Arabidopsis thaliana: one gene and its partners. The protein of the gene in region 3 interacts with the protein of the main gene of each other region in a pairwise test. Each region holds a gene or a part of one and is shown on either strand. Other genes may lie near its edges.

Region 1 (6,257 bases), on a different chromosome or scaffold from region 3:
GATTTACATAAGCTTTTTAAAGGGTTAAAAAGTGTTTTAAAAGAGTTACAAGGGATTTTAAAAGAGTTTTAAAATATTTACAAGAGATTTTTAAAGGGTTTTGAAAAATGTACAAATGTTTTTAAAAGATTTTTAAAGAATTTACAAGAAGACCCTTTAAAAACTGTTGTAAATCTTTTTAAAACCTTTTAAAATCCTTTGTAAATCTTTTAAAATCCTTTGTAAATTTTTTTAAATCCTTTTAAAATCCCTTGTAAATCTTTTAAAATCTTTTAAAAATCTCTTGTAAATCTATTTCCCGCAAAAAAAATTTACAAGGATTTTTAATTTTTGGCTGATAAAAAAAATATTACGGAAAACAAATTTCGCGAGAAATTTTTTTTTGGAGGGAATTTATTTTTTTGCGGGAAAAAAGTTTGGCGGTATTGTTTTTTTTGGCGGGAAAAAAAAAATATGGCGGGAAAATTTCAGTTTCCAATTACATGTTACTATTAGATGAGGGTAATTTGGTCATTCTGTTCAAGGGAAAAGGTATTTTTAAAAAAGAACCACATATAAGGGTATTGTTGCAAAAGGGTAGTTTTGCAAATCTCCCAAGAATTAAATTCTTTTAATTATAGAATCTAATCCATAATCACTCTTTTATAAAAACGTAAACAATTATTTAACCACATTTAATTGAATTTAGTTGTAAAATCCAAACCCTAAGCATTCTTTTATAAACTCAAATTGACTTATAATCTCGTTTAATCGTAAAATCTAAATCCTAATCTTTTTTATAAATCTAAACAGAAATATAACATTTAATTACAAGATCTAAAACCTTAACTATCCCTTTAATTATAAAATCCTAACTGAAATATAAGATATAACCTTTAATTATAACCCTGAAACCCTAAAACCCTAACAGAAATATAATCTTTAATTATAAAATCTTAAACCTAAACCGACATATAAGTAATTATAATACGCTAATCAAACTCTTCTTTATAAACTCAAACTATTTACTTTGTTCATAATTAAAATAAAAAATAAACTAAAACCCTCCATTATAAACCTAAAAACCAATATATAAATTTGAAATATTAACTAATAAATCATAACCTATCTTTTATAAACTCAAACCAACATGCTCGACTAAATTACTCTTAGGAGATTCGAAGATATTTCTCTCAACAATAAAGAGTTTAAAATTAGTTCTATTTTATGGAGTTGAAGAAATGAAAATGAAGTTAATAATTTAAATATTTGATTCTGAACAATCTGATTTTTCTTTTAGCCAACTTATACTCTGTTTCTCAATAATGTATTTTCTAGGGAAAAAATTGTTCCAACTTTGTAATTAATCTACAGCCTTAGGAATTGCTCCAACTTTGTCAAATATTTTGATAGTTTGGCTTGGGAAGTCTTGTTTAGCACATGGCCAGGAAGCGGATAGCGAATTAGCGATATCCTATCATCACGCAATGAATAGGGACGAGCCAACGAAATTTAAAGAATTTTATCAGAATATCGCACAGTATGTTAAATTGCAAATTTGCCATGTCCAAACTCCGAACAATGTCTCTAAAGTTGACGACAAATTGAGTAACAAGACGACAATTTGGTTGACATTCTTCCAACCTCGAGTCTGAAAAGAGACAAGCTTGTGGCTAAAAGCTTGGTAATGGCAGAGCACAACGAGACAAAGATTAGTCTTTTCCTTTCAAGTAGAATCATCAATGTTGAAACTGAGCATTATTCAGAGAATTTATATCTATCCCCAGTCTATGAAGGGAAGCTGAGGATAGCCTTGCTCAGGAGGCGGTTTTAGCGATGGCGGAAGATCAAACCAACCTGTTCCTGGTCTCCCACTAACAAAATCACCTGTTTTAGACAATTCAAACTTCCAACATCAGATTTTCTATAAATGCTTAAATATTAGAGAACTTGAATGACGAAAAAACAAGAACGCATACGGTTTAAAGTACTTCCTTGGATGTGTTGTTGGTTAAGCATGTCAACACGAAGTTGTGTATTATTTGTGAATCCTGCATTTGAATTCAACAAGAGGATGATGTTTTAAGCAAATCTTGCGCATAGTAGAGACTTCTTTAAAGCTTTAAGTAGCCTAAAAGAGACCAAATCACTGAAGTCAAAAATCAACAGGTTTTGACCTAACCTGTGCTTCCTGTATTGTTGTTAGGATGGAAGTATCTGCAAGAATCTCCAAATGGGCAAAAATTCTGCAAAACCCATTAAGAAAGGAACAGACTTTACTTGGAAGATTACATACATACACACATATGCAATGAATTTTTTTGCAGAATCAAACAAAGCAATGTAAAATGTGTGATTCCACCAGAATATAAACGAAAAGGACAAGACTTTACACATCCAGAGATTGCTAGGAATGATGAACATAGCGAAACAAAATCAATCCGACGTACCGAGGTAATGAATCGATTGCAGAGACCTTTCGTCGCAAAATTGGAGACTTGTGGATTAACAAGATCTAAGAATTTCGTATTAAAAGAAACAGAGATGTTAAAAATCGTTCCTTTAAGAAACAGAGAGAAAAAAGAGAGAAGAGAGATACCTGAGGAAGAAGAACTGTACCAAAGGGCTTTAGCTCGAAGATGAGGTTTGCTTTGAAGATGGCGTTTTCTAGCGACTTGAGTGTCTTGAAACTCTTTCTCGCAATAATCACAGTAATATTTCCCCGACGGCATCTTCCGGCGATGACGACGACGACTCGTAGAATCAAAAAGTTTTGGCTTTTATTAGTTTTAGGCGCGTGAGGATACTTGTATTTGCTACAGTGACTTTTAGGGTCTTTGTTTGATGATGTTGCAGAGGAAGAAGAAGATACAAAAGCAGAAGTAGCAAACTCTTTATCTAGATAAAAAATCTTGGTGGGCTTTTACATTATGAACCAACCAACCATAGTAATAACTCTTTTTTTCTCTACTCATACAACAAACAAAGGGTGCATATCAGTTTGTGACATATTGATACATAGAGAGGTAATTTATAAGAAGTGTTTGTTGTGTTCATGCTACATTAAGAGGAAATCACAAACCGAGCCAAGGACACTGCTTCCTTGCATGCTCAGGTACTAACTTAGCTACCATCTCCAATGGTACACCTTTCAGCTCTGTTTCACAACAATTACAGGTATAGCTTTAGTAAGGTAAAACTTTGATGATTTTACAGGTAAGTTGGAGATAAACACCATTAGGAAAGGGAGATGTTGTACCGTGAGGCTTGAAGTTGAAAAGCGGTGGAAGGAAACGTCCATTAGGTAGACGTGCGTTTGGGTCTCTTAACTCATCAAAGAATGGGTGGACTAATGTGTCGAGCTGTGATCAGGTTTACGATTCAAGTAAAAGCAAGTCAGACAAAAGAAAAATAGGAAATGAAAGGACCATCGAGAAGATTCACAGAAGAATGTTGAATTTGTAAGTAATACTCACAGCGGCACTTCGTAGATTAGGAGAGTATTGAAGAAGTCTTGAGACCAAATCAACAGCTTCTGGAGGCATGCGTTTGTGGAAAATCTGTGAATATATTATGACGAGTAGATATTGTCACATTGACTGTAACTGCTACTGAATAACACATTGACAAGTTGATTTGATGAATATAAGTTTATTTCTACCTTGTGCCATGGATGAGCTTTAATCTGAGGGAATTTGAATTCCGTGTAGTTTGGGTTCATGCACTTGATTTCTTCTCTAGTAGGCGTTCCCAAGACCTACCCCAAAGCATAACAAAAAACATTACATCAAATCTTCTCTCAGTATTATTGAAAACAAGAACTTGTTATCAAAGTGAACAAGTGCAAAGCTTATACCTTGATAATCTCTACAAGTTGATCAACACCGCTCTCACCAGGGAACAAGGGCTGTCATGAGCAGAGAATAGAGTTTGTCAATCACAAAATTCCAGGTTAAGTAGAACAAAAATGTTTGAATAAGATTTAATGCATTACCTGTCCAAGCAATAGTTCAGCTAGAACACATCCTGCAGACCAGACATCAATGGCTGTCGTATACTCGGTTGCTCCAAAAATAAGTTCAGGTGCTCTGTAATACCTCGAGCAGATGTAGGAAATGTTTGGTTCTCCTTTTACCTGTTTTCAGATATTACAATGATCAACAAGATTGAATCTAACTTTTTCCAAGAAACAAAGTACCCGGAAGAGGTTTATCAAACTCACCAATACTTTTGCACTTCCAAAATCACATAGCTTTACTTGATGAGTGTGCGGATTTACCTGTTCCATTACAGGTGAAAAAAGTAGCATTAGACAATGAAGAAAAGTATATTCCCGGGTATACTGTGAGCTCCTGTTTATTTAACTTGTACATACCAACAAGTTTTGAGGTTTTATGTCACGATGACACACACCAATGCATCGGTGAATGTAAGATAAGGCTCTAAAAATCTGCCAAACATAGAGAAATCCGATAAGAGATCCAAAACATAACTCTAAATCTAACAGAAATGTAATAATTGATACCTGATAAGTGTAAAGTTTGACGTATATAAGAGGCATTCTCTGATTCAGTTTGTTGTAGTGTTTGATAACACGATGAACAGTTTCTGGAACGTACTCAAGAACAAGATTGAGGTAAAGCTCATCTTTTTCAGTGGTTGAGAAGAAACAATGTTTCAGAGACACAACATTAGGATGGTCAAGTAGCCTCATGGTTTGAAGCTCACGGTTCTTGTACCTCCTATCTTGTAAAACTTTCTTTATCGCAACAGTTTCTCCTGTCTCAAGACATTTCGCCTAAATCACATAAGAAAATACAGAGGAATCCAATTCAGTCAATTGATAGATACATGATGTAAAACGTGAGAGATGATAAGCTAACAAAAACTCACTTGGAACACAACACCAAAAGATCCGTGACCAACAACACGCTCAGCCATGTAGCTAATTGTCTGCATTGACATTGTAGAAAAATTAATAAAAACACGAAACACTAACCAATCAACTAACTTAAGAAGATTAAAAGAACAGTTTTTTGCAAAGAAGAAGAATCAAAAACCTGTTTTGGTTGGCCATTTCTACCACCAATAGTAGTCACAATGATATGTCCAGTCTCTGTTCCATTTCCATCTACCACTGTCGCTTCCATTTCCTAACAAACCACAATCCATTATTTAGATTCTCATGAAATACATACCAAAAACTATACTACAACGCATGGAAACATACTTTATCGTCACGAATTTTCATGTCATTCATTTCTTCAGGCAATTTATCAACACCAGTAGAGTCTCTTGCTCCAGGATTAGGAGCTATACCCACTGACGCCATTTTTCAGGCTACAAAACTCTTCAAACTTTCAAGCCTGCAACAAATAACAACAGAGATTAAAATCCAATGAGTAAAGTTTGTTGCTTTACTAATAACAAAACACACAAATTCAATTTCAATAAAGGAACAAAACACAATTCTTTCAAGCTTAACAATTGAACACTTCAAATAAGTAAAAAACAATTTAGAACACTAAAATTACGAAAAGGAAAGTTTTTTTTTAACGGGAACAAAAAAAATAATGATAAGCCCAAAAAAAGTTGCAAAATTTAAAAGACCCAAACATTAAAACCAAATTAGAGTTTGGTAGAGAAGAGAGAATCTGTCGATTTTAAAATGATGGGTTAAATTAAAATTCATGGTGAAGCAGATCTGAAGCTAAAACCCAGAAGAAGGGATGAAGAAAGAGAGAGATCTTTAAGACGTACCGATGAAAACGTAAAAATCTCAGATCGATGAAGAGAAGAATTAGGATATTAAAGAGAGAGAGATCCGTACGAGTAAGGATTTGTGGGTTTTAACAAAAAAAAAAAAAAGGATTTGTGGGTTTGATGATTATGAATCTCTCTCTCTAACTTTATTTATTTTTCCGGTGAGAGACGAATTATGAAATATTTTTACTTTATATTATTTTGTGATTCGTCTATAATCATCTCTCTCTATATAGCTGGCTTCTCGTGAAGACAATTTTATTATTACTATATTGTAAAAGAAAAAAAATTAAATCATTTTTTTTTTTTGGTAGGGTGGGGAAAAAAAATTAAATCATTGATAGGCAAATGGATAATTTCTTTGAAAGTGAAAAAGAAAAAATAATGGGACTCGTCGAAGTTAGTAAAGTTACATTGGTTTTAGTTTTTGTCCTCTTTTTGAGATTTGACCATTCAAACTTTTATATTTTCTTCCCAACACAACAAACCAAAAGAGATAAGGGTCATAGAAAATA
Region 2 (6,909 bases), on a different chromosome or scaffold from region 3:
TAAAAAATAATTTTAATACTAAATTTATAAATGATGGAAACACTAATCAGAGTTTAGATCTTGTCATTTGATCTAGTTATTTGATCGTTACAGAATTCACAAATTCAATTTGTTTCCATTGTTGTATAGATTTAGCATTGTAGTTTCTAATTTCTATCTTAAAATTTAAAAATTGTTATTTCCGATATTTAAATAAAGTTTAAATTTTGACATTCATGTATTTGTTATAAAAATAATTAAGTCAAATTGTTTTATTTGCCAAGATTTTCTATTGTTGACCCCTTCAGAGAAATACTATCATTAAACCCCAAAAAAGCAAAACACTTTTCATGTGATCACAGAGAATCGGGACTTCAAAGGTCACAAGTTAGAGGTCCTACATGAACTAACTATCAGTTAAATCTCATATCCTTACTTCCAATCTTAATATTACTTGTTGTCTTTGTCGAGAGGGTCTCAATAGTGTGTACTGTTTGTGAAGGGACTACTAAATTACTAATCCATTAATACAATTTTAATTCTATCATTAACTAGGCTTTAACACTGTACTAAGTTTGTTGCAGTTTCTTTCTATCACTTGCGTGGCTTGTTTCTTGCCTTAAGTTGGCTAATAGTAATTGCTTATGCTTGGTCTACTGTGATTAAGATGAAAGTTGTCTTGTTTGCTTCCTTCCTCTTTGTTGACTTTTAGTTGGATGATTTGGTCATGTCTTGTTGATGAAGATAGTGAATGAAAAAGGTTGGACCATAACTTACTGAGAGATGTTTTGATTGAGAACAAGCAAGTTTGACTTGCTTTTTGCGATGTTAAATCATCTTCTGGCTTAGGTCAATGGACAAGAAATGTCTAGATCCAGTGACAGATTACAGTCTCTGCGTTTGTATGTCTTGAGTTCAGTAATTACTAAGCGAACTTAAAAGTGTTTTACATTGTTTTTCTACGAAACAGTTTCGAGGAAAAAGACTTGAAGCATTCATGCATGTACTTGTTGTTTACTGTTTTTTCCATGCGTGTGACTGACTTGTTGTTCTATTCGGTAGAACGAGCACACACAGAAGCAAAAGACTTGGAGCATTGATGTGAGAATTTAAGAAACTATAATTTCTGGTCCAAAAACTGATGATGAAGAAAAGCAAATGGTTATCAGTTGACTTTAAAAGCTTTGGCCCCTCTTCTTAGCTCACTCAATCTCAGCTACGTTACGTGGATGGATGTGATTTTGACAAGTGGCAACATCATCATCTATGAAGTTTATTGAGCACTGTTTGGACCATAAAAGATGAAATCAGCCAAGACAATTAAAGAGGTGTCCCCATTGTCCTTTACATCTTTTGCAGCCAGTATGATTTAGTTTTTCCAAAATTCAATTTTGTTTTTATTGGTACAATTCGTTGGGCCTTATGATTTTGTCTTATGGTTTATCTTTGTGTTGATGAAGATACTTTCTTCTCTTCCTAGAAGCTTGGAGCCCACCTCAATAAATCCTTTCTTTGCTACCATGGCACACACTAGGATACTCTTTTCTTTGTTTGGTCTGGTAAAATCTCTTTAATGTCACCGTCACCGCCATTACTCGTCTACCTTTCTTGGCAGCCAAAGTTACCTTTGTCGACAACATTTGATCACCTGTAAACTATCCAAACCATGTATGCCACTAAAATTTTGCATAATGGTCAGTAAGTAACAAATTATACAATTCTGATTATGGTCAAATTTTACCTTTTGTGGTATGCTACTAGTTAAAGGGTAACCAAATAGTGGTTTTTACCTCATCAAGTCGCTATTTTGATGGTTAAGTTTCTGTATACTTTTCATCATTCATTGTCTATGTTAGTTTATCTTTGTGAAAAAATAGATTTTGTGATGAATTGACACCAAGAACAGTGGAGCAGCCAGTGGGACTTTCATTAAATGGTAAAGGAACCAGACAAGGAAAGGTTTTTCACCTCCTTTCTTCTTGCTCCCACCACATTAGTGTTTCCTCTCTTCATTTATAAGGGTTCCAAATTTTTACAATGGTTGAAACTCAGTGTTTACCGCGGTCATAGTTTTCTGATACTTTAGAGACAGTGACTATTAGTGTAAAAATGTGTTACCATAAAACTATTGTTGCTTCCACAGGGAGAATTATACCATTTGCAGAGCAATGACTAATTGAATAAACAACAAGTCTAAGCTAATGACATCATTGACAACCAATTAATTACTTGCAACTACTTTGCATTTTCCCTTTTTTTTCCTTCTATAATCAGGGTTTATGAATCATTAAGACTTTTTGCTCTAAGTTACTCCAAATATCATTAATCCTCTGTGTCTGATTTGCTTTTCCCATTATAGTGCCAGCTTCCACTTCTTCACCGCCATCTAACAGCATTTACTATTGTGGAGTTTCTACAAAAAGCTAACTAAAATGTGAAACGAAGAAATCAATAAACACGTTTCCATAAAGTAGTGTAACTTATTAGGGTAACTAGTTGTAGGCAAGACCGTAAGTAAGACAAAACAATAAGAACTTTGTAGCTTTCAAGAAACCATCACTCAATAGGATACCTGTAATAAGAAACCTTGAGCATCTTTTAGACCCTAGTGTAAGATAATTGAGTTTTAGTGAGAAGTGTTTAAAACTTGTAACTAGCTTAAATGGGTTTAGTGCATTTGGGGACTGTCGACAGCGAACCTTGACGCGAGAAAAATGCGGGAAAGTAACAAGAATGGTTTAAATGTCAAAACTGTTAAAGGACCACAAAGTTTGTTTAAGGCTAATGAGAAAAACATTCTTCTCAATGACATTATCCTAAGTTGCAGGGTTATCAAAGTGAGAGCTATTGATAGATGTTGACCTTAAAATTTACTCCAGGTTCTGAAATTCACTGTTTTACTTTTGTGTTGAGAGGTACAATTTCAAGGTAAAGATGGCTACAGTAATTGGGTGCTCTGTTGAGTCTTTAAAAGGAAATCAAGGTGTTGGAGCCACAAAGGTAATAATATCTCTCGACCCCATCCAATTGAATGCCAATCCATGTCAGAGACCGGGAAAAGGGGCGCTTACAGAACCTAAACAGAGACATCTTCTGTTGTGTTTCTCCATCTATATATCAGAGTGACGCCAAGAGAGCAGCTTTTGTGATCATACTGATCATGATCATGTAATGACAACTATCTCATACACTAGGTTATTAAACCGTGGATCAGATTGAAGCTAGCTTTTTCTTCAGTAGATTAGACTAATAACTTGTGTGGGAAAACAATGGGCAGATCGCCATGTTGTGATAAGGCCGGGTTGAAGAAAGGGCCTTGGACTCCAGAAGAGGATCAGAAACTTTTGGCTTATATTGAAGAACATGGCCATGGAAGCTGGCGTTCTTTGCCTGAGAAAGCCGGTAACTTGCTCGCTCTTTTCTCTTCAACAAAACCACACATTTTCTTCTAGCTCTATTCAAAGCTTTGCTTCAAACTCCTTATAGGTCTCCAAAGGTGTGGAAAGAGTTGCAGACTCAGATGGACTAACTACCTAAGACCTGACATCAAGAGAGGCAAATTCACTGTACAAGAAGAACAAACCATCATTCAACTCCACGCTCTCCTCGGAAACAGGTGACTCAATCACAATCTCTGCTTTCAAACCAAATAACCAAGTGATTGCTTTGAAAGCAAATTGATCGTCGTCCTTTAAATGTCATAGGTGGTCAGCGATTGCAACTCATTTACCAAAGAGGACAGACAACGAGATCAAGAACTACTGGAACACACACTTGAAGAAACGTCTGATCAAAATGGGGATAGATCCAGTGACTCACAAGCACAAAAACGAGACTCTTTCGTCTTCCACAGGACAATCAAAGAACGCAGCCACGCTTAGTCATATGGCTCAATGGGAGAGTGCAAGACTCGAAGCTGAAGCAAGGCTAGCTAGAGAATCAAAGCTTCTCCATTTACAGCATTACCAAAACAATAACAACCTTAACAAATCAGCAGCTCCTCAACAACATTGCTTCACTCAAAAAACATCAACAAACTGGACTAAACCAAACCAAGGTAAGGGACACATCGTCTTAAAAAAAACTCTCAACTTTGATTGGTTTTGGTAACGTATCAATGGAAAATTGTGACAGGAAACGGAGACCAACAGCTTGAATCTCCGACATCGACGGTGACATTCTCTGAGAATCTTCTGATGCCTTTAGGAATCCCTACGGATAGCAGCAGAAATAGAAACAATAACAACAATGAGTCCTCGGCGATGATTGAATTGGCCGTATCTTCGTCAACCTCCTCCGATGTGAGTCTGGTCAAAGAACATGAACACGACTGGATTAGGCAGATCAACTGTGGTAGTGGAGGAATAGGAGAAGGATTCACGAGTCTATTGATCGGTGATTCGGTCGGCCGGGGTTTACCCACCGGGAAAAACGAAGCGACGGCGGGCGTGGGGAATGAGAGTGAGTATAACTACTATGAGGATAACAAGAATTACTGGAATAGCATTCTCAACTTGGTTGATTCTTCACCGTCCGATTCCGCGACGATGTTCTGATCTAAGGGTCTTCAACCAAACATTTTTAATTCTCAGATTGTTTTTTAAATGTCGATAGCTTTCCAATACTTTTTACTTATCTTTATTTTCTTTATAAACTATTATATATATATATATATATATATATATGGGATGAAAATGAGCTTAATTTTAGTATTCGTTTTTGCAGAATTGCATGTAGCAAACCTGCAAATCCAATTTACAATTTATATATTATGCTTTTATGTTGTTGGTATACAGTTTGTTAGAAAAATATTTTAAGTGATAACGTCGTTGTCATTTGGCCAAATACATAAACCATAATAAGGGATCCTCCTTCAAATCCTAATACGTTTTTGTTTTGGGAATGAGCTTTCTTGAAAAGCCTATCGGCACAAAGATCCTTTTTAGTATCATTGCTTTGTTCGAATTTAAATTACTAATTTTGGGAATAATTAGGCGCTTTAACTATTGAGTTATAGAAGTTGAGCTTTCCTTAATCTTATATTGATAAGATGTTTCAAAATATAGGATTGGAACCACTCCATAATTCTTTAAAGTTGCTGAGTGCAAGCAATTGAAGGAAATAGATATTCATATTACTTATCCACCGGTTGTGGAGTATTTTTGTCTAATTTTCAAATTTTTCTATATGAGAGATGTCTGAACGAAGAGGCTGTAATTATAACAACAACACGTTGACATGTCGAGTAAAAGAAAGAAAATTCAATGCTTGGTTGTTTCATGTCCTTTTCTTTATCATAAATTTATTTATATACAGTATGATCCATAGTAATAAAACACAGATATTACTAATAGATTCGAGTCCACTAAACTTAAGACATTTTTAACAAAAGGTTACATTACATCCATCGAATTTGATAGTAAATCCTTAATCGTTTACTTAATGTGCATGCAAATTTGGGCGTAATAGTAAGAAGGATATGGGCCTGACGTTTGGTACTATTGAATAAAGGCCCATATAAAGCCCAATAATTTGCTTTTCTGAGAAGACGGAGACAAAGGAGTCGCTCTGGTCTTTCATTATCGCGAATCTGAGATTTCGGAAGATTCGATCGATTTGGGGGTTTTAGGGTTTAATCTCAACTGCTAATCAATGGCGCCACCTCCAGGACTTTACTCCGGTACCAGCACTCTTGCTCTGGTAAACCCCGGATCAATTTCTCGATCTGTAGCCTTGACTTGTCGAATTTTGGATTTTGAAGAGTTCATCGAGTCTTTTCTTTTTGGTATCGATTTAGGTTGCTCGTGCTTCGGCTTTCGGGTTGGGTCTCATCTACGGCAACATCAAGCTCAAGGCTTTAAAGGTACATCTCTCTATCTTCCTTGTCTTGTTTTTATCAGATGAGAAATTATTTTCATTGGGTTTCATTTTGACATCCTAAATCTGACACTTGCCATTATAGCAGCAAATTCGAATGTTTATGGCTTTTGAATTATGATATTCTCGATCGAATCATGTGTGCCGTGACTATTAGTATGCTACTTTGCTCCTTTTGGTTTGGTCATCTATACACAAGTAACATGATTCTTTGACCCCAATGTTTCTGCCTGAGTTCTGATCTCCTATTCCACTGAATGATCATAGTTTTGACTTGATGTTTAGTAGAAGAGTTTGTCAATGATTTGCAACTTGATCACTGAAATGTAATTTCTTGCCTTTGTAAAGCATAAGTTTGCGATGTTGTGTCTGGTTTCCAAACCCTAAGAAAATCGGTATGAAAGTAGAGCCTATGTTGCTTCCTTTAGAGCATCCCAATCCTTATTCATTCAGATTGTGGAATCTAATTTTCTACTATGATGTGATTTGCTAATAAGTTATGATGATACCAACAAATGCTTCTTCTTCATATGCAGATAAAGAAGAATTCGCAGATTAAGGCCGAAGCAAAGGCTCATCACTAAACCAACTCTTCTTCTCCTTCTCAATAAGATTATGAAGCCAAGTGATTGTTATCTCTAAATGTAGTTCTTTTCCTCCTTAAGCTATATCTCCCTCGGTGACATTTTTTCCATCTTTCTGTTTTTTTAATCAAAATCTTCTGTCTGACAAAGCAATCGTATACCCGTTTTGGTTTAAACCTGAGTTCTTCTTTGGTACTTTCCTGCTATTCAATAAACACCATATTTTTATCATCTTAACCAGATAAATAATTTATAAAAAAAAAAAAAAAAAAAAAAGAATTTTTTTTGTTTTCAATTAAAATAAATAAATATCCGCCGTGGCGCAGAGTTAAAAGTAAGCAGTTGGCTATTCAGGACGACCAATGTGGTCACTGCTTGGTGGCAAGAACAAGTTGTGTTCGAGCTATACAAGGTCGTGGCTTCGAACATTGGTCACACTCACACATTCGCTGTCTCTCTTTCTCACGTA
Region 3 (10,380 bases):
TTCTGGCTGTTCTTCGTGGCTTAGTTTATCGATCCACCAAAAACACTGGATCTTCTGGCAAGAGATCCACTATCATGCCCAGAAGAAAGCTGGCCTGAGATTCAAAAAAAAAAAAAAGCAGTTGATTTTTCTCTCTGGAAGACTTACTCATCCTTTTTCTGTATATGCCTAGAAAGAGGTGTTTATTTTTCCTTGTGAAAACTTTATTGCTTTCTGATTTATGTGGAATTCTTGTTTGTTGACTCAGCAACAATGAAATGTTTACTTGGTTGATATAAAATTCATTCTTGACACTACTGCCTGTGCTCTTCCAGTTCCGCGCCACTGGACTAGGGTCTTAACTTGGTCCTCTTTGAGTCTTGTTTGAATTGGTTCGGTGTAATTAAACCAGCAATTAGTTATAAAAATTAGAAAGAGAGAAATAGCTCGGGTCTGTTGGTTCGGTTAAGTAAAACCAACAATTAAATAAACCGTGCGTGAATCTCAAGAATTCGTCTCTTCTTCTTCTTCTGTTTCATTTTTGTGGTCAACGACTCGGGAGAGAGGCAAAAAAAGATGGGAGCTTTGGGGAAGCTGATCAACATCTCTCTGTTTTTCTTCTTCGCACTGATGGCTATCAATGTACCGCTTCTCAACGGTCAAATACTATTTCCTGGAATCTACCCGAAGCTCCTCACCGATCTGAAAGACTGGTACAGCTCTGAGTTCAACGATTACCTCTTCATAGAGAAGCCTCTTTTCTTCGTTGGACTCGTCTGGCATGAGATCATATTCCTATTGCCTCTCTCCATTGTCAACATCTACGCCATTCTTACCAGCAAGTCGTGGTTTGGTACCACTTCTTTGTTGTATGGAGCTTCTTTCCTCACTTCCATGGTACATTTTCTTCTTTCTCTTCATTTTCATTTGGCTCAGTCTATGTATATTTGTTTTTGATGTTGTTGATCTGTAAATGTTACAACTTTCTTGATTTGGAAACGAAAATTCTTTTGGAGTTCTATATTTTAGTATATGTGATTGCTCTGCTTCTCTGAGAAGGCTAGATTGTACCGCTTTGTTTGTAAGTTTCTTTCACGTTTTGTTTTTGTGTGTTTTGTGAATCTCTAGGCTGCTATACTTGGAGACATGATAGGTTCAGAGAAGGTGACTAACAAATTGCTATTGGCGTATTTGCCTTTCGTGGGTCTTGCAATTCTGGCAATGCTTCGTGGTCTGGTGACTTGTTCGACCAAAAGATCAACTGTTTTAGCCAGGAGAAAGCTTGCTTGAGGATAAACCAGGGTAATTTCTCATTTGAAAACTTTACTTTATCACATGGTATGAATGTTCAATGTGAAAACATTATCCCTTCTAGAAATTTTGTTCAAGTATTAACTCAGCAACAATTCCTTGGTTGAACTTAACCTAAACAGAACCAAAAGGTAAATTTACTTGGCAATGGCCCTTTTGAGAGACACTCATTGTCTGGTAAAAAAAAGTGTGAGCTTTCCCCTAGACAAACTCACATAAGCTTACAAAAGTACCAAAATACTTGTATAAGATATTTATACAAAAGAAAGACAAACTCCAAATTCCTGATGATGGTCCATCTAACCACAAGAAGGAAAGAAAAACAGTAACTGTAACACAAAAAGAAATCCGAAAGCATTCTTTCTAACCTAGTTTTTGTTTTTGTCTAATTCAGTATGTGACAGGGGAAGTCAAATTCCCGAACCTCGTAAAACCATCTACATATTCACTTTCAAGTAAAAAGTTTTTCACTGCTTAGTTTCATCAAATAAGCAGACCAAAACTTAACACTAACAAACACTCAATGGTATTCTCTTGTGAGGTTCGATCTTGACTCCTCCGCTTTTCTCAAACTGAAATCTCTCTCTTTTTTCCATCATCACCATTTTGTTATTTCCTGCAGAAAGAAGAAGAAAAATATGATTACATCATATAATGGCGTAAAAGCGAGAAGAATATATTTAGTGAAAGTAGTACCTAATGGATGGTTTTCAAGCAGTCTCACAAGACATTGAAGCTTTGATTCTCTCAACAGTGCAAGCTATTAGATTGTTGACAGTTGCAACAGAGCCAAGAGACAGCTTAGCCGTAGGAACTGAGTCAACCAGAATCTGAAAAGCAACAGTCAAGAGCGACCCTCCATCTCCTCCAGGGGCTCCACTATTGGCATTACCATCAGGAAGAATAGCAAAACCTGATGGAAGCAGAGCCACATAGTCTGGATCACCTCCATTAAGCACTATGTTCATAGCTACAATATCGACTGGAGCATAGATCACAAAGGAAGCTGTAGGATCAGTGCAGCTCTCTTGTAGGATCAGCATATTGCTCTGGCTAGAGTTTGCACTCTGTGACATAAAGAAAGATTGAAAACTCTTAGCTAGGATCAGATGATTATAACAATAGTTCAAAACCCGGTGTAACTCACATTTACCCGAAGAAGAGAAACACAGTTTCCGGTATCCCTCCCGTTAGCAATATGTGCCATTTCTTGCACAACTCCTCCATTAGACAGAATATCCCACTGCAAAATCTCACAAAAACATCAAAACTCTGTCCAAAACAGAACAAGAGAGCGTAGTAACTAAAATAGTTACCTCATTTCTTGAATTCTCGTCTCTGAGGAAGTCAAAGACTCGCTTTGGAGGAACAGGGATCCAAAAAGAAGTGGCTGCACTAAGAACAATACCAGGAGGCCTTCCTGGATCATCCACACTCTTCCTAGTCATCACTCTAACATCTTCAGCTCCTGTACCGGACAATGTAGTCCACGTGTGAGCGGTTGAAGCACTCACTCCTGCACAAAAGCTTATAACCATCCGCTCTGCCAATTTCAGCATACTCCTCCTCCCTTCTTGGTTGGTTATCACTGCATATTCATTAATATAGAACTGTGATTCTGACTCTGACTCTGATTATGAAAACTGTTTATGAAACAAACAGTAGGTTATACCGCCAACTTCTCCAGAGGAAATGTTTGTAGCCATGACACTAGCTAACCGCTCGCATTGGCGGTCAAGAATGGCTACCCAGCGTTTAGCACCAAAGGCATGACCAGTACTAACCATGTGTTTGTATAAGTTATGAACTCCTCTGTCATCAACTTCCACATGCTCCACCCAAGTCACCTGTTACATTAATTCTCTCTACTTAAGTAAACATTTTGTATAACCTAATGTTTTTATTATATTACCTTAGAATATCCATTTGGCAATTCTTGAATCAAACATCCTGAAGCTCGCCGCCTGCATCTAGCCGGGGGATTTGGTTGGAGACTATCCAACGAAATATCGACAACCGCCCACGAACCATCTCCTTGTTGTTTACAGTAACGTGCGAAATAGGTTTCACGTGTTGGGACTAATGGAGATGGAACTTGAAACTCTGCACTCATCTGCAAGCAAAACAGAGTGGTTATTTCAGTTTGAAATTTAATTTTTACAGAATAAAAGCAAAAAAAATTACCACTTGAAGAGCTCCATTATAGTTTCCTGCAACTCCTGTCGATAAAACCGCTAATGTCATTGCTCTAGAAACCATCCCCGCGAAAATCGTCGACCATTGATTCTGCAACATCATATCAATGTTGTTGAAACTAAACAGAGAAGATTGCTTTTAAGTAAAATGAAAATGTTAATTACCACATCCATGAGAATCTCAACGATGTTAACATGATTCATGATCACAACCGCGCTTTCTCGCGAAGCTTCTGATCTATATCCAGCCGGTCTAGGTCCGATCCCTCTAGGAAAGGTCCTTGCATATTCTTCTTCGTCTAAAACCAAACTCTTCCACAGAGGCTCGTCTACTTGAACCATCCTCATGAGCTCTTCCATTGCAGCCACGGATAAGTCGATGATGACAGGTTTGTCAGATTCTGTTGGTGCAGTGATGGACTTAAGGAGATCGTTTGGATTGTTTCCATAAGCTTCTCCTCCAATATTTCCCATGGCGAGTTCTAGTGGACGTGGAGGAAGAGGAGGAGGAGACATAAGTGGATAGTTTGAGACTGGCTTGCCTACGTATTTAGCTGCGATTGCGGATATACGGTCGATCTAAAACAGACAAATAAGAAAGATTATTGATCCTTGTGGTTTTCAAAGTTTGGTCACAAGAAGAAACGTTGAGTAATGTTGTTATTATGTACTACTACTCCTTACAGTTCCAAAAATATCGTTTTAGTATCTCAATTTAATATCATAATTTTTTCTATTCTTCAATGAAAAAAAAATGTTTAAATTCTCTAATTTCAATACAAATCTATAAAAGTTTTTATTTTATGAAGAAAGAAATGATTATTGTGAAAGCGATATAACATTAGTGGTATAAAAACAAATTCTAATTTTTTATTTTATCTTCTTGACAACATTTAAGTGTAAAACTCTTAACATTATTTGAACATTTAAAATAGTTGATTCTCATACCTCTTCCCTTAATCGAGCATTTTCGAGACGGAGTTGGTGTTCGTCGAATGACATTTCTCCGATAGCTGTTGGACCACCACAATTAGGACACGAAGCATTTGCAAGAGCCTCTCGATATCTTAGGTTGTCGTTTCGAAGCTTTTCGTTCTCCGCCCGAAGATGTGAGTTCTCATGCCGCTCGTGATGATTCTGCGCAAATAAAACTTATATTCCGGTTATCTCTAAAGTTTTATACAAGTGATTTATTTCTAATTTGGGTAAAACGAAGGAACAAAGGATTTTACTTAAAAAGAGGAAAAGTGTATGTTTCAAATAAAACACTCGTGTACACGTTATGTGTTTCACCGTATTTGCATAACGTAAGCATATGTGTCCAAAACGTTTCAATCTATAGATTATATATGGCTCTAACTAAGATAATAAATAGGCAATGTTGTTACAACCAAACAATTTTCTATAGCTTGATCCGCCAAATATATAGTTCTGCCAAAGGAACAACTTTTCAATTGAAAAAAAAAATAAGTAAGAAATTTTAAGTCAAAGTGTCTCAACTAGATCTAAAATCTGCCAAAAGTCAATGAATTCATTCTGAAAGAAAACACCAGCCACCCAAAATGTTCTTAAGTATAAAGATAAGCCCTTCAATGTATATATACAAGACTTAATATGAATGAAATAACAATTTAATTAACAAGTATATATATTTTCTCTAATATATATAGATCCATTAACTAATGTATATATGTTCATAATATAAAAAGTATACCTTCATTTGGGTACGTTTGTTTTGGAACCAGAATTTGACCTGAAGAGGTTCCAAATTCAATTCACGGCTTAGCTGTTTCCTTTGCTTGTCATCTGGGTGAGGACACTCTTTGAAGAACCTATTTAACAACCAAAACAAAAGAATTGTCAAAAAACACACAAGAAAATTGAAGTAAGTGAGTAAGTTAAACACATACGCTTCCATCTCCTGGATCTGAAGTTGGGTGTGTCGATGATATCGTTTCTTCTTGTTAGGATGAAGAGGATCTTGGTCGTTTCCTGATCCTCCTTCTTGATTCTCACTTCCCGATTTAGTATTCGGACTGTCGAATTCATCGTCCCGAAGAAATCCTTCATTATTGTTGTCTTCATGGTTGTAGTTGTGGTTATTGCTGTCTGCGTTGTTCATAGCCGCAAGCAGCATATTTGGCTCGAACATCTTTTCTTATACTCCGGAAACTGAAAGCAAACCCTAGAAGCAAAAAAAAGTAGAGAGTTTTGTCAAAATTTAGGGTTTGAAGAAGAAGGGAAATTTCTTCGAGGCTGGAAAAATATGGCAATACTTTTGTCCACGTCAACAACTTTACAACCTTCTTTTTGTATGAACAACAATAACTTAAATCTTTCTTCGGAGTCGTTTATCTTTCTTCTTGAAGATCATACAAAATGATATAAGCAAACAGAAGAATTGGAGATGATTGTAGGAAACAAAGGACCCACTAATTGAAAGCAAGAAAAAAGAGCCTTGCATAAAAAAGACATCACAATCACAAATTAATTTGTTATTGAATAACCAACCCAAAAATAATGAATTTTCACATACTCAAAATTATTCGAAACTACCGATTTTTTACCCTTTTAAAAGAAAAGAAAAAAACTAATCAGCAGACTGAAATAAAAACTATGATTGATTCAAGAGTCATATCATATGTAGTGTAGATGGAAATCAATTGTTGTCCAAAGAAAAAACTTTAAAATTTCTACACTATAATAGCTTTGATGGATGGTGATTTAATTTAAAATTTCGAGGTATTTTGATCAGTTTTGATTTAGATGGGATAGGAAAGAGAAGACGAAAAGAGAAATGTTGGACTCATTTGTTCAAAGCAAATAAAATGGGAAAAAGTAGGTACAAATAAATTCCCAACTCTATCCTGTTTATTAAAAAAACAATATTTTCGTGAGAACAAAACAAAATTTAATTAAATATAATCATTAGTAGATTTTCAAAAAATAAAAACTCTTCAGGAAAAAGTGTAAACTACTATTTGGCGATTAAGAAAGAAAAAAAAATTGAAATGAAAAAAATAGTATTATATCTGTGCACCTGTGCGACGGACCAACATATAGTTATTATACAACTTACAACCAACGTGACATAAGGCCTGGGTGATGTATTAATTTTTTCCAGCTATTTCTTATCATCATCATCGTATTTAAACGTTTTTATTACACACATTAATATGTAAATGTATACTACTACTATAAAGTATATACACGTGTTTATATATAAAACCAAACGTATAATGAAAATAAGGATATACGAAGAGAATACAAACCTTTCTGTTTTTTTTGGTAGGCAAGGGAATACTAACCTTTAATCTTTCCTCTTTATTGTTTTCTTGAAGGTTTCATCTCTGACTATGCAGAAATTGATAAGATTATTTAAAGAAGAATACAATAAATCAGAAAGTCAGAAAGCAAATTAGGAGAGGAATGAAAGATATTAGAGGCAAGAAATCAATTAATTAATGCTAAAGAAGGCAAAATTTAAGACAAAATATAGATGACTAACTGAAAATTCAACATACAGGATATATTAAATTATAAAAAAAAAACATCATGAAAGTGAGAGTTTTATAAAGATGCTAAGAAAACTGAAGTGTAATGGATCCAATGATACTTTAAACAAATAAATTTGTGTACATGAATTAATGGATAAAATAAAGAAAACAGCAGAAATGATGAGGTTTTCGAGACATACACTGGGATATAGGAAGAAGCGACGAAACCCTAGAGGGAGAGAGAGAGAAGAGTAGAGCGGTGTCTGGTCTGAGATTTGTTTCTCGGAAAACCGCTGATGGTTTTGTGAAGCGCGGTTTTGTTGGCGAGCAAAAGGTTTGAAAGGTAGGTGCAAATCTTGGAGGAAGAGAGATGAGAGAGTAATGACAGAGAGAATTGAGAGGGTGCAATGAAATTAAATGGTGCGAGAGGGACACTTAATTATCCTACACGCTTATATATATATAGAGAGAGAGAGATATGTTACAATTTATTTTATTTATGTTACAAAATTATGTGTTGTTTTTCATCTTATATACAATGTCAACCTAAAATAATTTTATTTTTTATTTATTTAAAATATTATAATGTGGTGAGGAATGACGGCTAACGGTCTATGAGCCTATGAGACTTACATTTATCTATTAGATATGTAGTTATTTTTAAAAAATCATTAGCATTATTCATAACTTATGCATATGCAATAAATCACCACTTAACAAAATTAACTATATTAAAAAAAGATTTAACTATATTGAAATTTGCTTTAATACAGTTCTCCATTTACAGAAAAAGTTAGACAATAGTCCCCATTTGTCAAGGATACAATTTTAAAAGTAATTTTCTGAAATTTTAATACTCTTAGATTATTTATAATATGGAAAAAAATTATATAGTTTTTTAACTAAAATTCAATGACTTGTTATAGTTAATATTTATCTTTATGAGATATAAATTTAATTTTTACTTTCAAAAAATATGACTATTATATTTTTAACTATTTTATTTTATTATTATTTCATATCTTTGTTATAAATTTAATTGTAAAGAAGGAAAATTTCATGATTCTTCTTCCACATGGCATTTTCTTAAATATTATAGAAGTTTAGGTTGTATTATTGTTAGTCAGACAGAAGTTGATTGAGTGATGTATTTATTTTATTTCATTTAAAAGAAGAAAATCTAAAAATCATCACCTTAATTTTGAGTTTTGTTTACGAAACAATTGTTTTTTCAATTTAAGGAAGTCAATGAAATATCACTTTTTTCACAGTAAGACTTCATTTTACATGCCTAGAAATATTAATTACTTTGTGGCCCAAGCATTTATAACTATAACGTGCAATTAAGCTATTTAAAATACGGATCACCCATTAAAAAGGTGATAATTTGTAAAAGCCATGCATTCATCTTAATTTATCACGCGAATATATAGAGAAATATACTGCGTATTTAATTACCTAGTTCTTAAGCTTTGTTTTTTTTTTTAAAGTCCTTATAGCTATAGCTTTAACACTCAAGTTTTTCTTTTCAGTAAGTTTATACTTTACCTAGATTCTTTAAAATAACTATATATAAAAAAACAATAACCCAACTTATTTCTGATTTTTACTGTATATATGTAGGTACAGATATATAGATGGAGTTATACGTACGTACGTATGCGATAGGGTGGCGAATAGTTTCGACGCATTAAATGTGTACACAGAGGCTGCATGGGCTTTAGGCCATTTACTGCTCTCATGCCTCTCTTGCACTTTAACCTCCTCTTCCTTCTTCGTACTCTCCTACTAAAAAAAACTAGTAATTCAACGCCTAACATTTTAGTTTTTTCTTTTTTTTTTTTTTTTTTTTTTAGTTTTTTCTTTTTTCCTGCTACATCACTAAAAGTTAATTATTTCAAAAAAGAATTGCTACAATACTATTCACATTTTAAGTTTGTTTCATCCTCGTAAGTCTCAAATATTTATTTTTAGTTTATTTCTTTTTTTTGTCAAACTTTTAGTTTATTTCAATTAGTGTTTTTTCTGCCAATATGATCAAATCTGAGATTCAAAATGGAATTCTTCTGTTGAAAAAATGGATGCTTTTGTAATAAATTCAAGATCGTAGTTTTTTTTTGTTTCTGGGCTTCGTATATGGGCCATAAGACGGAAGTAAACTTTTGGCCCATTATATATTTTATCCCCAACGAGAATGGCAAGGCCGAAAGTCTCATTCTCCGAGAGTGGAAAGTTAGTTAAGGAAAATGATTGATTTTTTTGTTTTGTTTTGCATTAGTCTATAGGACGACTTGTTTCACAAGAAACTAGCCGTATATTGTAATATCCAATCACTGAATTGAGCAACTTGGATAGTTTACATTGAGAATGCAGGAACGTGGATTCCACAAACTATAACAGTTTATTATAGTTTTTAACTTTTGAGAGCTAAGGACTAATAAAAAAATTCCCCAAACTACATCTTCTCCAAAGTCAATAGCTTTTCAAAGCGCAAAAGATGATTTGAAGCTTTCTTAATCGTTGCATGATTTCGATTTCTTCTAATTGTGGAAATTTAATATATTTAATTGCAGCACCAGCAGAGATCAAGAAGATAGTGGAGGCCATGCAATGTCCTCCTCGAGCTCCTCTTGTATTTCAACCCTCATTAAGAAACAGAGGAAAAATGCAAATGGGATTATCTAAATCTTGTTTGGCATTTCTCCATGGACTATTTCAAAGCCGCTGGGTGATCTATAAAAGGCCTGAGAATGTCTCCTTCATCTTCATCTCCAAAGCTCGTTCTCACCTTACTTGGCAAACACTCAACGAAGAAAGGAGAGAGAGACGGTAATGGCGATCAAGAACATTCTCGCCCTTGTGGTTCTTCTTAGCGTGGTTGGAGTTTCTGTCGCCATTCCACAGTTGCTTGACCTCGACTACTACCGGTCTAAGTGTCCCAAGGCAGAGGAAATTGTTCGTGGTGTCACAGTACAATATGTTTCTCGCCAGAAAACCCTTGCCGCTAAACTTCTAAGGATGCATTTCCATGATTGTTTCGTCAGAGTAAGCTTGGTTCACTTGTTCGAGACTGTTAACCAAGGGATATGAAAAAACTAGCTAGTCCTAACACTCTTTTGTAATGATTCATGTAGGGATGTGATGGTTCCGTTCTTCTGAAATCTGCAAAGAATGATGCGGAAAGAGACGCTGTCCCCAACCTGACCCTGAAAGGTTATGAAGTGGTGGATGCGGCCAAGACAGCGCTGGAGAGGAAGTGTCCTAATCTCATTTCTTGCGCTGATGTTCTTGCCTTGGTCGCCAGAGATGCCGTGGCAGTGGTAACATTCCATTTTCGCAATGGACTAGTGATTTTGTCATTCCAAAACTGAAGACTATAGTATGTATATAACTTATTA
Region 4 (7,264 bases), about 12 Mb from region 3:
TGTCGTGATATTGAGCTTTCTTTCTAATTTATACAATCTACAGATCACATCTACATTCTAAACATTTGAGTATAGTATTTATTTTATGATATTTTGAAAAGGAAATTGTGTAACACGAAGTATATGGTTATTCAATAAATTAAAGATTTTCTTCTACCTATTATTGTACTTGCAAAACCGGATATTTTGGAGACATAAACCAAATGATACTGTTAAATATGTTATATTATTAGTAAATATTTCCTTAAATCTATCACTACAATTGTGTCATCACTCATAACTAGTTAATATATAATGATGGAAAACTAGGGAGTTTCGGCCAATTCATATTCAAATAAAACTACTAAGTCGTAATCATACATAAAATAAAGTATTGTGTGAATAGATACTTCAACTATCATGATTGGAGAAAATTCAAAAATAAAGAAGTAGAGGCAGAAAATGATATAAAAAGTTATCATAGATAGGGTGTAACGGCATCACGAGTATTCATATTTTGGTAAAGAGTTTTTTCTTCATTTCACATGCTTGAATTGTATTTTTTTTTTGGTGAGTGATAGGAGGCAATTGGCCCCTATGTTTTATTCAAATAAATGTAAAGAAATTACAATCGGACAATCATGGGTATCGTGTACCCATTGGTATCTTCCAACAAAACCGGCTTAACAATATCCGGGCAAAGATCAAACGAATGAAAACCAAGCGGTAAAGAAAACGCATAGTTCGCTAAAACATGCTTGAATTGTATTAAAACAGTCAATAATGTAGATTTTTTTTGAGAGATTAAGGAATAAGATACTACTATGTGATTGTTGCACAAAAAAAGATACTATGTGATTTGGAAATTTAAAATGTAACTTATATGAAAAATCAGGAATAGAAGGACAAAATTGATAATGTCAACAAGAAGGAAGGAAGAGAAAAGGAGGGAGGACCAAGTTGTATACTTCTATCTTAAAATATATTTGTTTTGCGAACAGAAAATAATATGAATAATCACTCTTGTAAAAATTATATTGGTTGCATAGATGCGACATATTTGTTTAATAAACGTTTCAGTGTATATATGCAAGAAGATTACAAAAAAAAAATCTATTGTCCAATGCATACAGTAAGTTTTATTGCATTCAAGTAACGAACAAATAAAATCATATTCAAATATACGTCATTGTATAACAAAAAGTATAAAACACACTTGAACATATCGATAATTGTAGTAATGCATTTATACATTTTAAAACAGCATCATCATCTAATTTTAAATATTTTTCTTCATATATTAGTTTATTTTCCAGTAACGTTTTCATAACCATAGATAATATGAGCATTTACCATCTGGCTAAAATTTTCACGGTAAATGTAGCTGTCGAGTAGCCTATTCACCAAGTTTTCTGAAAGATCTAAAACATGGTACTCACTTGCCAAATAAAAGGATAAGACTATTTCGTTTATACTATCAATTTCTTTTATAGTAATATTTCTGATTCATTAAGCAACCATCGACCAGTTCTAGCCCTCAACAGTAGTTCATCTACTACGAAGACATCAATGAGTTAACTACCATCTTAATCAAATGTTTACATCCGTGAAAATACCCCAACGCATATGACCACCCGTCATCCCATATAAATTTGTCTATATTATCTCGTTAGCTAAATTATTAGTGTTATAAAATCCAAGAAAAAAAATTATTATTATTATAAATCCAATAATTTTAGGATCTCACCCGTAATATACCGTCCCTTGAATGATTTTAAATTTATACTACTAATATAGATTTTAAATTTATCATATAAAGTATATGATTTCAAGTTTTTGTGTTTTTTTATTTAAATAAAGCAACGGCTTAAATGATGATAGATTTAGTTCTTTTTCTTGTATGTGTATATGACTTTTGTGTGAATATTTTAATTATTATAAATTAGTATTTTTATTGCTATAGAAAATGTTAATATACATATTTGCTATAAATCGGATTTATGCATATTTTGTGGAATAAAATTCACAGATTTTGTTTTTGAATATATATGGAAAGATTGTAATTTTCTTGTAAATACATGTGGCTTTTCTTGTAAATAAGTCCAAACTACAGAATTTATTTCACAAAATAACTGTAAAAATATATATATGTAAATATCATTATATATGTATACACTGTTATTTTGCGAGTTTTATTTTGCAAATTTGTATTATTCAACTATATTATTAAACGCAATGTTACCAATCAAACCCTAAATAATATCTTTGGTGCACACAACTCCAAAAAGACATAACTTGTTATGAGATTTATTATCATTAAAAGAACCCGTTTAGCAATTCATACAAGGTTCATATGTGATCCCAATTTACAAACACAAACGTCACACGAGCTAGTAACAAGATCCGACCCCGACAAATCGAGTCGGACTGTACCCGAGTGTTAGGTCCAAGTTTAGCTCCTTGTCCAGATGATCATATCTGTAATCACAATCAACACTTAACCGTAAATCCTCGTCCGTAGTCGTACCGCTCGTAGAAGCACAGTTTTCACAAGAAGTCTCCATCTTTAGTTTAACAGAACCGGGAAACGTGGACTTCAAATCTTCATTTCGGGGATGAAACGATGTCGTTTTAGGCTCGATGATCGAACCGTGAGTTTTTGGGTCAATACCACGGTTAAGAAGCTTCCTTTTTATATGAGTGTTCCAATAATTTTTAATCTCATTATCGGTTCTTCCCGGTAATTTCCCAGCAATCAAAGACCATCTGAAAAAAAGACATTCGAAATGTAAGGAACATTGGTTTAAAACTTGGTCATTTGGGTATATTAAACCGGTTATTTATTTGGTTTTGTCAAATTGGATCTGCTTGTATTTTTATTATTTTTTTCTCATAAGTGTTGCACTTTATTTAAAACCTTATGTTGTAAAGATACAACTGTGGAACCTTCCACTTACAAATCTTGACACATATTAAACCTTACAACATTGGATCAACTAAAATATAGTCATCCATATTACATAAAAAACCAACAAGTCTAACTTATAAGCAGAGGCCCATAAAGAAAGCCCAAACCAGGAAACAAAACCTTTAGAGGAAGTAAATTAAAGATTCCCTTCCACCACAAAGCCACGTGTGATGTTAACAAACAAAGTTGAAACACGTTGACTGAAGAAGCCTTAGTTGTCGCCATTCACCACCGTTCTGGTTAGCAACTCAGGGAACTCTAAAACCACCGGAAACCGCCGGAGCTTCAAGAGAAGTCCATTGATTTTTAATTAGAGAATCCACCAAACTTCATTAGCAAATTTGGAAAGGAAAGATCTCCCAAAGGCAATTGATTCCTGAAATCTAAAGAACATCGACGTAGAGTAAGCCGATGGAGCTTTCAGCAACACCTTAAAAAAGAACAAAAAAGCACTCGTCTCCATAGATCAGTTAGAGAAACAGCCACAATTGCAATAGTTTCAACCCATAAGCATAAAAAACCTTAATCCGCATCTTAATTTGTTCTCAAAAAATGAAATCGATAAGCGTGGAAAACAAATTAATCCCTTTAAACAAAGGAGGTTCAAGGAATTATATGCCAGATCTAACAATGAAACGCAAAAGAGCTCAATCAAACTGAATATAAAGAAATCGAGAGAAGAAAACATAAATCTAAACCGGAATCAATCCGGCCAAAAGGTAGACGAAACACCGAAGATAGGCGGTGAAACTCTAGACCTTAGCTAGCCTACCGCCGCTAAAGAAGCCAATGGAAGCCAAACGCAAACCGACCATCGTCGTAAAGAACCGAACAGTGTCAGAAGAACCACGACAATCAAACGTTGCCCTAAACATCGCCGGACAAAAGCCAGACATCCATGCTGGAAAAGCCATAAGATTCTGGACAGAGAACTGGCCAACAAACACTAAAGAAGCTATTGTTGCCGGAAAAAGAAGATCAGATGCTTTCTCTCTCTAAAAGATGCAAATGAGAGAAGAGAGAGAGAAGCCTACAAAACCTTCTTTTCCATTCAAAACGCATAGAATGCTATCTTCTCAATACTGGATCTGCTTGTATATAAACCAAATTGTACATTTATTCATTTTTATAAACTGAAGAGAAAACCATTTGATTAGTTTTCTCCAGTGTTTTCAAACCGGTTGAACCAGTTTGACTGTGAATCGAATAGCTATCCGATTTGAGTTATCACCAAAAACCGGTATTAAAAAGACTCACAACACCCGGTTTAAAATCTGATTAAACCAGTGAACCGGTTCGGACTAATGACCAAAACCCGATTCTTCATTTTTTTTAGTCTTTCACGGTTTAACCATTGGTTTTACTTTTTTACAGTAAAACTGGTTTGTTCATAAATCATAATTAAGAGAAAGGAAATTACTTGTTGCCAAATAAACTATGAAGTTTGACAATGATTTGCTCTTCACCATCAGTGAAATTTCCACGTTTAAGATCAGGACGAAGGTAATTAATCCATCTTAATCTACAACTTTTTCCACAACGCAACAACCCTAAAGAAAAGATAAAATCATCAGATCAAGAAACATAAAAATTTGAAAGAAAAAAAATCAAAACTTTGGAGAAATTTACCAACGGATTTAGGAAGAGAACGCCAAGAGCCTTCACCATGATTACGTATATAATCAATAAGACGTTGATCTTCTTCTTTAGTCCATGCTCCTTTGTTCATGTGAGCCTTTTCACAACATGGTGATCTTCCCATGATGATGGTTACATGTGTGGGTGATGAGACAAGAAGAGTGAGACTAGGATCTAAAGAGAGGTGTTATAAAAAGGAAGTGACTTTGACCAAGTTGGTGTATGTATCTTGTATTTTGTGGGTGAAAAAGATTTGGTAGGTTACCTTCTTTTTCTTTCTTTCCTTAGAGCATGTCCATTAAGGAGTCCTAATAATGGAATCCTTACATTTTTATACTAATAAATTTTGAATTTTTTTGAAATTAAAGTTCTTGTTGAATCCTAAACTTTTTTCTAGTCCATTAGTGAATCCTTAAGTGGGTTTCTTAAAAAAATAAATATGATAAATATTTACTTGACAAAATATGCTAATTTATTTATTTGACAAAGGGTTAAAGCTAATTCGAAGAAAAAAAAGAGCTTGGAAATGTAAAAACTATTCCAATAGTATTATATAACCTCATCATCTTCCTTCGTGAGTTTCCCTGCCAATTGAGAATATAGATGTTGCACTCTTGCAAGCTTCCTCACAGTTTTTGGGGCTTAACAACCACCCTGTCACATATACCCTGCAAAGCAGAAACTGCAGAACATCAAGATTGAACTTACGTTTAACTTTTCTCTTGTATTCTCTCGTACAATAGAGAACTGACTGCAACAGTTTAGCAAATCACATCAGTATGCATATCAGGAAATTTCAATGAAATGGATTCTATAATTGTTCAAAGCACTTTCAAGTAAAAATTGACCTGGTTAGTAAGTCACGCTCTATCTCCATATCACGACCCCTTGAAGCAGCTCTAGGCCTAGTTGCAGCCAAAGCTTCACTACAGACACCTAATCGATTCCTTTGAAAAAGTCTCTCAGGCTGTTTGCAAACATATTTATTAGAAACAAAAAACGAAGGTGCACATATCTTTATCAACATCACTTGTTATCACACAAAAATTTAGTGATATCTAAATTGAAACATTGGTTTAATCTAAAAATTAACTACTAAATAATATCCAGACACAAAACACACCTATAACTGTGCTAGCCAAGCAATGGGATCAATGTCGGTATCAGTAAATTATCCTGCTGTTACGAGCAAGCACAACCTAATTCCACGAGCCCGAAACATCAGTTAAACGAAACTTATAAAACTGTTTTAAGAATCGATACGAACACAATCTCTAAACTATCTTATTAAGAGACGACGCGTGATGATGATAATCACCAATCGTACGATCGGCCTCCGGAGTTTACAAGAGAAGAGAAAGAAAATTAATCGTGAAATGAAAAAATAAACAAGGCCAAAAGCGAGAAAAAAAATTGTTTTGTCAAACACAGAGCCAATAATATATGGCCACGTATGCGCCCCTTGAGATCAGAATAAACTCTAAAATTAGGTGCGAACCTAAGAGCATCTCCACTGGTGAGATACTACATCAATACCTCATAATATATTATTAATATTTTTATATTTAATTTAAGTAGAGAAACTTATACTAAAATTGTGCTTCCATTGGTGAGATACTCTTATAGGTATCTTATTAATATTAAAATATTATTATATTTTTCATATATTAAATTTAATATCTCTACAATATTTTTAAATATATCAATTATTATTTTTACAAATTATATTATTAAGTAGTTTTATTATTTTTAAAACCATAATTAAACATTACTTTACATATAAAACCATAATAAAAATTAAGTCTTTCACTTGGTAATGGATTACCACTTATGTAAGATAAGTAGAAATTAAAAGATTTATTGATGATTAAATTTTAAATACATATATCTGAAATCACAATTTTACATTAATCTGAAAATATTGCAAAATAAAAATAGAAAATTTTAAATGTTTGTTTTGTAATTAAAAAACTATTGTATTTATAACTAACACCAATTAAATAATATTAGTACATAATTTAAACATATACATAATAGAGCTTGTTATATAGATAATTTAATTTTATGAATTTTAAAAGTAAAAAAAATAAAAAAAAATAACAGACATATAAAGTATTTAATTGATGTTATAAAGTATAGATGATTGTATTTATAACAAAGAAAAGAAATTAATAACAAGGTGACATGTGGAAGAGAGAGAAAGTTTCTCTAAGTTTCTCATTTCATAAACGATCCTGAACAAAATTGATTAAAAAATTATTATTTTAATGTTTTTGATTTATTTTTATTTAGAATTTCTCAGTGAGAAACCACCAATGAAGATGGTCTAAGCTTTAATCACAATTTTTATTTATTTTTTGTTAAAATTATTTGAGGATTTCCCTTAAGAAACTGTTAAGGCCCTTCCAATGAACATGGTCTTAGATTTTATACTACTAAGAGAAAGGGTTTGGTGGGGATATTATTTTGATGGATTTGTTTTTTTGTTACAACTTACAAGTGATATGAATGAGTTATTTTATTACTAGTTATTTTTGGGTTGTTTTAATCTTCTAGAAGGAAAATGAGTGGTGGAGAAACACTGAAACAAGATCCAAATTGTATCCTACCTGCCTTTTTGGCACTATCTTTCTTTTTGTTTTCCTTTTCGAGAAGATTTTTTTCTTCGAGAAAAGAAAA

Evidence for each region.
Region 1: the proteins of HDG2 (region 3) and AT5G26749 interact in a two-hybrid assay, tested with the Arabidopsis thaliana proteins (one large-scale study listed by BioGRID).
Region 2: the proteins of HDG2 (region 3) and MYB106 interact in a two-hybrid assay, tested with the Arabidopsis thaliana proteins (one large-scale study listed by BioGRID).
Region 4: the proteins of HDG2 (region 3) and HOS10 interact in a two-hybrid assay, tested with the Arabidopsis thaliana proteins (one large-scale study listed by BioGRID).

Annotation. Positions count from the first base shown.
Region 1 is NC_003076.8:9,396,529-9,402,785, forward strand, and holds AT5G26749 (C2H2 and C2HC zinc fingers superfamily protein), read right to left. Parts: upstream 2,740-6,257; 5' UTR 2,712-2,739; coding exon 2,579-2,711; intron 2,495-2,578; coding exon 2,373-2,494; intron 2,226-2,372; coding exon 2,162-2,225; intron 2,031-2,161; coding exon 1,959-2,030; intron 1,867-1,958; coding exon 1,757-1,866; 3' UTR 1,487-1,756; downstream 1-1,486. Other genes in the region: SK 11 (shaggy-related kinase 11), read right to left, coding at 3,054-3,136, 3,239-3,341, 3,456-3,539, 3,641-3,736, 3,836-3,886, 3,974-4,114, 4,202-4,258, 4,355-4,429 and 4 more.
Region 2 is NC_003074.8:44,245-51,153, reverse strand, and holds MYB106 (myb domain protein 106), read left to right. Parts: upstream 1-2,857; 5' UTR 2,858-3,010; coding exon 3,011-3,147; exon of another isoform or gene 3,148-3,248; coding exon of another isoform or gene 3,249-3,256; coding exon 3,257-3,381; exon of another isoform or gene 3,382-3,465; coding exon 3,466-3,595; exon of another isoform or gene 3,596-3,683; coding exon 3,684-4,036; exon of another isoform or gene 4,037-4,113; coding exon 4,114-4,535; 3' UTR 4,536-4,758; downstream 4,759-6,909. Other genes in the region: AT3G01130 (ATP synthase E chain), read left to right, coding at 5,632-5,679, 5,777-5,920. UniProt on the Arabidopsis thaliana protein: Functions as a repressor of epidermal cell outgrowth and negatively regulate trichome branch formation. Acts both as a positive and a negative regulator of cellular outgrowth. Promotes both trichome expansion and branch formation.
Region 3 is NC_003070.9:1,511,388-1,521,767, forward strand, and holds HDG2 (homeodomain GLABROUS 2), read right to left. Parts: upstream 7,514-10,380; 5' UTR 7,183-7,513; intron 6,840-7,182; 5' UTR 6,794-6,839; exon of another isoform or gene 5,671-6,793; 5' UTR 5,638-5,670; coding exon 5,396-5,637; intron 5,318-5,395; coding exon 5,200-5,317; intron 4,623-5,199; coding exon 4,434-4,622; intron 4,065-4,433; coding exon 3,651-4,064; intron 3,577-3,650; coding exon 3,475-3,576; intron 3,404-3,474; coding exon 3,203-3,403; intron 3,176-3,202; exon of another isoform or gene 3,138-3,175; coding exon 2,963-3,137; exon of another isoform or gene 2,879-2,962; coding exon 2,607-2,878; exon of another isoform or gene 2,534-2,606; coding exon 2,438-2,533; coding exon of another isoform or gene 2,417-2,437; exon of another isoform or gene 2,358-2,416; coding exon 2,001-2,357; 3' UTR 1,987-2,000; exon of another isoform or gene 1,913-1,986; intron 1,907-1,912; 3' UTR 1,514-1,906; downstream 1-1,513. Other genes in the region: AT1G05210 (Transmembrane protein 97, Putative), read left to right, coding at 1-98; AT1G05220 (Transmembrane protein 97, Putative), read left to right, coding at 556-876, 1,108-1,269; AT1G05240 (Peroxidase superfamily protein), read left to right, coding at 9,815-10,027, 10,117-10,302. UniProt on the Arabidopsis thaliana protein: Probable transcription factor. Involved, together with PDF2, in the regulation of flower organs development by promoting the expression of APETALA 3 (AP3) in the epidermis and internal cell layers of developing flowers.
Region 4 is NC_003070.9:13,075,371-13,082,634, reverse strand, and holds HOS10 (high response to osmotic stress 10), read right to left. Parts: upstream 4,746-7,264; 5' UTR 4,710-4,745; coding exon 4,577-4,709; intron 4,498-4,576; coding exon 4,368-4,497; intron 4,220-4,367; exon of another isoform or gene 3,862-4,219; coding exon of another isoform or gene 3,706-3,861; intron 3,331-3,705; coding exon of another isoform or gene 3,254-3,330; exon of another isoform or gene 2,862-3,253; intron 2,746-2,861; coding exon 2,370-2,745; downstream 1-2,369. Other genes in the region: AT1G35516 (myb-like transcription factor family protein), read right to left, coding at 3,254-3,330, 3,720-3,861. UniProt on the Arabidopsis thaliana protein: Transcription activator.